Kluyveromyces lactis: one gene and its partner. The protein of the gene in region 1 interacts with the protein of each later gene in a biochemical or structural test. Links are inferred from orthologs where the notes say so. Each region holds a gene or a part of one and is shown on either strand. Other genes may lie near its edges.

What was found.
Region 2: of the proteins of MCM4 (region 1) and CDC7, one has a biochemical effect on the other in vitro, tested with the Saccharomyces cerevisiae proteins (9 studies listed by BioGRID, with this or other methods). The link is inferred for Kluyveromyces lactis from reciprocal best matches to the Saccharomyces cerevisiae genes MCM4 and CDC7.

The regions. Positions count from the first base shown.
Region 1 is NC_006039.1:1,537,358-1,541,949, reverse strand, and holds MCM4 (MCM DNA helicase complex subunit MCM4), read left to right. Parts: upstream 1-1,564; coding exon 1,565-4,243; downstream 4,244-4,592. Other genes in the region: mannose-ethanolamine phosphotransferase GPI13, read right to left, coding at 1-983; KLLA0_C17490g (S10 family peptidase), read right to left, coding at 4,395-4,592. UniProt on the Saccharomyces cerevisiae protein: Acts as a component of the MCM2-7 complex (MCM complex) which is the putative replicative helicase essential for 'once per cell cycle' DNA replication initiation and elongation in eukaryotic cells.
Region 2 is NC_006039.1:396,735-400,147, forward strand, and holds CDC7 (serine/threonine protein kinase CDC7), read left to right. Parts: upstream 1-1,164; coding exon 1,165-2,592; downstream 2,593-3,413. Other genes in the region: DAL1 (allantoinase), read left to right, coding at 1-158; ERP3 (Erp3p), read right to left, coding at 245-964; trans-2-enoyl-CoA reductase (NADPH) TSC13, read right to left, coding at 2,897-3,413. UniProt on the Saccharomyces cerevisiae protein: Serine/threonine-protein kinase. Needed for the initiation of DNA synthesis during mitosis as well as for synaptonemal complex formation and commitment to recombination during meiosis. Required for HTA1-HTB1 locus transcription repression.

The DNA of each region.
Region 1 (4,592 bases):
TTGGCATTCTTCGCGTATAGCCAAAGGACACTTTCCAACTCGTCTTGCGAATCACCACCGTGGTTTCCTGTGTGGTCCATACCGTGATCACCCATAACAACGTATAACGTGTTATCATCTGCAGTGCTTATAATTTTCCGCAATAGCTCATCAACTTGAAGCTGTTTTTCCTTCATGGTAAAATGATTAGGACCGTACTTATGTCCGACATGATCAACTCCTAACATATGTCCGATCAAGATATCGTATTCAGACCGTTTCTCTTCATTGAAATAATACTCCTCTAAGTAAGAAATAACCCCATTATCGACTGTGTCTAAATCCCAAACGTTCAAGGATTCATATGGTACACTTTCTGGAGCCAAATACGGATTAAATAGGGCATCCCAAGTGTCATCACCGGCAAAGAATATTTTCTTGTTATGCAGATAAAGCTGTTTTATTAAGTTATCCTCATCGATCACATCACCATTGAAATTCGATCCTGCATCTATAAATGTAGGCAAGGAACCTGTTGTCAATCCCTTTAATCTTTGTAGCGTAGTTGTGGGAGGATCAGCCAAAAACTTCAACAAGACAGAATCCGTTGAGTTATGGGCCGTCTCATAAAGAACTTTCAAATTGTTATGATAATTAGGGTTGTACTTGGCATGATTTTCATCTACTGGAATAACGAAATCAAACCTCAATGCGTCCACTATTAGTAAAACCATCTTATCGTATTTAGCTTCGAAGGGAAGCTGGGGATCAAGTTCTGCAACGTTATCCAACACCGTCCTTGTTAAAAGGAACCCTTTTGCGAAAAATGCTATGGAAATAAACTGCAATACAGCCAAAGAAGCAAGTAATAGTATGTACAGAGTGTGCGTAGACTTGAACCTTGATATCCGATAGCTCATTCGACTGGACCTCGTTTGAGGCCCCATTATGCTGAGTCTAATTCTCTCTGCCCGATCTCGTTCATCACTAACAGTGGGATTCATCACTTCTTACCAGTTTCCAAACGGGACAAAAACACAACTAAACGAAAGTACAATAAATTCACGTTGAATAATGATATTGTGCAGAAGAATTGAGTCACACTGGCGAAAGTGGTTCGCTTATCTCTCGCCTCTGACAGAGTTCTTGTTACCACTTTATTTCATTTTAAAGGTTAATTTCTTTTAAAACAGAACAATTGTACATCACGTGATCATTGTTCCCTCTTCAAATAATGCAACTCCAATTCTGATCGGCGAAGATACTGACCATTGAGCTGAGTGGATCCATGGTATTATCAACGGTGGCAAGGGCTCATTAGAACCTTGTTTATTTCAATTTGTTCTGTTTTCTTCTTTAGGAAATGTAACTATGTAACCAAAAATGTGTAAAATCTTAACGAGTTTCACTTAGTTCACTCAAAGCATCTCAAACAAGATAACATTATCAATTGAAAGGTGATATATCAGGGAACCTAGGATTATTTAGCTGCTTAGTAGGTTTGATAAAATTGCTGAATTAGCATTTGGATAATAGTGGCAGTATATATCCATAGAACACAGGAAGACAAACGGTTAACAATATTATGTCCTCACCTCCAGCTCAACAACCAAGTTCACCAAATTTGTTTTATGATCCTAGCTCTTCTCCAGCTCCTCATGGTACACAGGATTCCCAGGCATCTCAAGACCGAGGCGTAGGCTCTTCTCCGTTTCACTATCCTTCGTCTTCGTCAAATGCCACGCAAGAGACGGCTCGCGCCGCTCCTAGTAGCAGTGGTTTAAGATCTAACAATTTGAGATCTGATCTATTGAACTATTCATCCTCTCTATCCTCAAGTGCAAGAGAGGGAAGACACTCTAGATCTAGAAGAGGCGAAATTAATGCATCTGACTTATCATCTCCCAGAAGAATTGTCACTTTCAATAACCTTTCCTCATCGGATAATGGATTTTCATCATCATCGAGACCTGCATCTGAAGCTGCTGATCAACCTTTGAAGATCATCTGGGGTACCAATGTTTCGATCCAAGAGTGTGGTAACAGTTTCAGAGAATTTTTGATGTCTTTCAAGTTGAAATATAGAAAGGAGCTAGATGATCAGGAGATTTTCATCAACGAAACAACAGACCAAGAGCTGTATTATGTGAATCAATTGAATCAAATGAGACAACTCGGTACTTCAAACTTGAACCTTGATATCAGAAATTTACTGGCTTATAAACATACTGAAAAGTTGTTTCATCAGATTCTCTATTACCCTCAAGAAATTATAGCTATTATGGATCAAACTGTTAAAGATTGTATGGTATCCTTAGCACTTGATAATGGGTTAGAGAGTTACTTGAATGAAATTGAATCGAAGTTGTTCAAAGTGAGACCATATAATGTGGAAACCAAAAAGGGTATGAGAGAGCTTAATCCTAATGATATTGATAAATTGGTGAGTATCAAAGGTTTAGTTCTAAGATCCACACCTATTATCCCAGATATGAGTGTTGCATTTTTCAAATGTAACGTATGCAATCATACTGTAGAAGTTGAGATCGATCGTGGTATTATTCAAGAACCAGTGAGATGTCCCAGAGTGGTCTGTAATAGCCCAAACTCCATGGTTTTAGTTCACAATAGGTGCACTTTCCAAGACAGACAAGTGATAAAGTTACAAGAAACGCCTGATCTAGTCCCTGATGGACAAACTCCACACTCTGTTTCCCTATGTGTATATGATGAGCTGGTTGATTCGTGTCGTGCTGGTGATAGAATTGAGGTTTCAGGTATCTTTAGATCTATTCCAATCAGGTCGAATCCAAAGCAAAGAGCCCTCAAATCTCTATACAAGACATACATCGATGTGGTTCATATCCAAAAGGTGGCTAAAGATAGAGTCGGTGTGGACACTTCTACTGTTGAACAACAACTCTTGCAGAACCAGATTGATAATGTGGAAGAGATTAGAACTTTGAGTAGCGAAGACATTAGGAGGATCAAAGAAACTGCTCGCCGATCGGATGTCTATGATGTTTTGTCACGTTCCATCGCACCAAGTATTTACGAGTTAGATGACGTCAAGAAGGGAATCTTATTACAACTCTTTGGTGGTGCTAATAAAACTTTCAAGAAAGGTGGAAGATATAGAGGTGACATTAATATTCTACTATGTGGTGATCCTTCGACCTCTAAATCTCAAATTTTACAATATGTTCATAAGATTGCTCCTCGTGGTGTTTACACTTCGGGTAAGGGTTCCTCTGCTGTTGGTTTAACTGCTTATGTTACAAGAGATGTGGATACTAAGCAACTGGTGTTGGAAAGTGGTGCTTTAGTTCTCTCTGACGGTGGTGTGTGTTGTATTGATGAATTTGATAAGATGAACGATAATACTAGATCAGTATTACATGAAGTTATGGAACAACAAACAATCTCTATTGCAAAAGCAGGTATTATTACAACTTTAAATGCTAGAACTTCAATTCTGGCTAGTGCCAATCCTATCAACTCTAGGTACAATCCTAATCTTCCTGTGACTGAAAATATTGATTTGCCGCCTCCATTATTATCAAGATTTGATCTCGTTTATCTAGTGCTTGACAAGGTCAACGAAGCGTCTGATCGTGAACTCGCTAAGCATTTAACCAGTTTATACCTGGAAGACAGACCGGATTCTGTATCTCAAGGTGATATTCTACCAGTTGAATTCTTGACAGCCTACATCAACTATGCAAAACAAAACATTCACCCGGTAATAACTGAGTCAGCCAAGACTGAACTTGTGAGGGCATATGTCGGTATGAGAAAGATGGGTGATGACAGTAGATCAGATGAAAAAAGAATTACCGCAACAACAAGACAGTTAGAAAGTATGATTAGACTTTCAGAAGCTCATGCTAAGATGAGGTTAAGTGAAAGAGTTGAACTTGAAGATGTGGAAGAAGCAGTGAGACTGATAAAGTCTGCCATCAAAGATTACGCTACGGATCCTAAAACTGGTAAAATTGATATGAACCTTGTACAAACTGGTAAATCGGTTGTGCAAAGAAAATTGCTTGAAGACTTGGCGAGAGAAATTTTAAAGATATTGACAGAAAGGACAACAGACACAATAAGTTTCAACGAACTAAGCAAGCTTATAAACGAACAATCGCAAGATAAAGTGGAGAGTATCGAATTATCAAACGCTTTGACAAGATTGCAACAAGAAGACAAGGTAGTAATCTTAGGAGAAGGTCTAAGAAGATCAATTCGTTTGAATGGCCGTGTATGAATAGATATTATCAAGTCTAGTTTTTCTGAGAAAGCCTCTACATAGTTTGCAAAGGGCTAAATGAGAATAACGACCTTCCGCATGTTCTGCTTATATACATACGTTCTGTGTATATATCATCGTGAAAGTGTTTGACATTATAATAGCATATTTAGTTAGAGTAGCCTAAAGAAAGGTCCCCCGAGATCCATCTGTTGATCATTTCCATAGTAGCTAGTGGTTGATAATATGGAACCGTATGACCTGCTTCGAATACTCTGAGGAAAGTAAAGGGTCCGTGGTTTTTGACCTCACCAAACTGGACGGATCCGTTCAAACTATACCATGGGTTTAAGGGTAACGTTTCATA
Region 2 (3,413 bases), about 1.1 Mb from region 1:
TTTATTTCAAAAACAAACTGACAGCCTATGATGGGTTCAAACTGAAAGGTTTAGTGAGAAACACCTATGTTAGAGGAAAATTGGCTTTTGAACTTGACGGCATGGGACATAATAAAAACCCTCCCGGCCAGACAATTCTTGAACGCAGAAGAACATGAAGTACCCCATCTTCTAATCATTTTTTTTTCTTCAATTTTGAATTACCTTTATTTGATGCATGATATACATATTATATATATATCACTTATGATTTAAATTTACCTAGAATATACTTCATTATTATAATTTCTAGAACAGCAATCGTCGGTACAAGAACTATGGAGCAAATTGATATGGTGACCAACCTCGATGCTATTGATTTAACAGTGTGGTGGTTTCTTTCTGCACGTGATTTGTACAGCTTCAAATTTCTTTCCAAGACTTGAAGCTGATCCTCTATTATATTTACAGAATCTTGCAGTGTCCTCACCAGTGAACTATCTATCGTCTCTCCTATCAAACGAGGATCTGCTGGCTTCGGTATCTGATCGAAACATATCTGTACAATGTCTAAATCAACAATCTTAGGATATTCATCACCAATGACACATAACGCATATTCACCAGTATGTTTCGCAGGAAATGTCCATTGCCCTTGCTCTTCGTCATCTTTGTAAATCATAGGATACTCTGTATCGTCCGGAGACCATAATTCATAGCTTACTCTGAAGGCATTGTTTTCTCCCTCTTGTACTGCGAAGTAATAAGATATTTTGCAGTCACTGTCATCAACATCAATGTAAACACATTCTTTCCCATTCTTCTGTAATTGTACCGTTATTGGTGAGCTTTGACAGACAATCACAAGCGAAAATACCCATAACCATGTAAACTTCATATTTAATAAGTTATACATGAAGGTTGCTTTGTGTGTAAATGTCCTTTTATTCGACAATTCCCCTTTTAACGTCCTGTTTCTGTTCATTAATATATGTCATTTCAATGTGAACTACTGCTGTTTGTTATTATATTTGGTTTCGACAATAAAAATGAAAACATCGCCAAAAAATGCATAGAATAAAAGAATCAACGGATATAGCGTATCTGTTCTTGTAGAGTCAAACCAATGGGTATACAGCTCGTCTGTTAGGCTTCATATTAGGTGGCAATATACACACTATAATTATGGATGACATTCCCGCTGAAATCATCCAGGAAATGGATGATTTGTACGATAAGGTACCACAGTTGTCATCCAGATACAAGCTACTGGATAAGATCGGAGAGGGGACCTTTTCATCGGTATATAAAGCTCAAGATCTTAGCAACGTATCTGGAAGGTTATACCCTGATCATTTCTGGGATAAGAATAGTAAACATGTGGCTATCAAGAGGATATACGTGACAAGCTCGCCGAACAGAATTGAAAATGAACTTAAACTCTTAGAGTTACTGTCAAATTCGAATAACGTAGCACCATTATGCGACGCGATTCGATACCAGGATCAGGTGGTTGTCGTCTTGCCCTGGTATCCGCATGAAGAATTCCGGCATTTCTACCGAGACATGCCTATCAAGGGGATAAAGAAGTACATGTTTGAACTTTTAAGCGCCTTGAAATACGTGCACTCATTTGGAATCATTCACAGAGACGTGAAGCCAACCAATTTCCTATACAACCCAATACTTGGGAGAGGTGTGTTAGTAGACTTTGGTTTGGCTGAAGAGAATGAAGAGTTGTACTTGCCTGACCTCAACTATCGTGTGTATGTTAATGACCAGGGAGAGAAGGTTTGTAATTGTTCTTCACCGTATGCTAACAACAAAAAGACATCACATCTGCCGTTGATATCCATTCAGAACGGGCAGCTTAACGTTAGAGGGGCAAATGAATTAAGTGCTGCACAAAGTGAGAATCTCATGAAGGCAGAATTGAGTAAGGGGTACCCAAAACATGAAACTAGGAGGCAGCGTAGAGCTAATAGAGCTGGTACGAGAGGGTTCAGAGCGCCAGAAGTGCTTATGAAATGTTCTTTCCAAACTCAAAAAATTGACATTTGGTCAGTTGGTGTGATACTGTTAAGTTTCATCAGCAGAAGGTTCCCAATCTTTCAAAGCATGGATGATATTGACGCCTTTCTGGAGATATGTTGCATTTTTGGAATCAAGCCCATGCAAGAAGTCGCCAAGTTCCATGGGTTGGGACTAGACATGACAAAGGTTCCAGGTTTCCATTCGGAAGGATATCCTGGGGGGCTACAAGGTTTTGTGAGAGCTTTACTTGACAAAGAAGTGGAGGAAGGAACATTACCAGAGTATTCCATAGCGTTCGAGACGTTGGATTATTTGACACAATTTGACAAACAACTCACGCCAAGTTTAGGCCCAGACGATGAAGAGGATATTGATGATAAAATACGGAGCTACAAACAAGCAGTTTGGGACGATCATTTTTGGTGTTTTGATCTCTTGGCAAAATGTTTCGAACTCAATTCATACAAAAGACCCAGCGCCAGTGATCTTCTTGAACATTTATGGTTCAAAGAACTGAACGAAGATTTACTTGATAGAGATCAAAGAAGAGAAGATCACTTCACCGGGGTCGTTGAGTAATGAAATCCAGAACGAAACAAAAATATTTGACGAAAATTAGCATATATTCACCGCAATAACTTAGAGCAGAACTCATTTTTTATATACATGCATTCATATATAGAGTTCTTTAACCGATAGAGTAATTTAATACTTTGCATTCATCATCATTATTATATTTAGTTTACAAACGTTGCCAACGCTTTGACGGCATAAGTTAGAGAACAAGTGCGTAAATAAACGAGTAAAACAGCGTTATTCACTTAAGAGAGAATGCTATAATACCCCAAGTCAAATATGTATGTGGTGATAGTAATTGGTGAATTCAGAACAAGAATGGGATCAAGAATGCTCTCTTGGTACCATATTTCTTGTTTTTCTTTTGAGCCCACAAGTACATCTGAACCACCGAGACAACAAGGAAAAGAACTGAGAATAAGTTCAACTTGAACAACAAAGTGAAAAACATCCAAGCCCAAGATTCAAAAGTGTAATTTGGAGCGACAAGTAGTTTGAACAACCCAGAATTCAATGGGACTCTCTTCGTGACACCGTTTCTCTTTTGTTCATCACCCCATCTACGCAATGCGACATGGATATAGAAATTGAACATCTCTGACAATCCAAACAAAGCGGTTAAGACTCTGAAATCAGATATCTTGAGAGCGCTGTAAACTCTGTATAAGGTCTTGTTAGCGAATGGGAACCCGTAACCAAAGTAACCCAACGAGATCAACCCGTTCAAGATCCAGTAATGGAAAGAGTTCTTGAACAAATTGAACAATGGCATGGTTTCCAGGGAGAAAGAATGAATGAACAATGTTTCGAATTCTCTCTTTAGA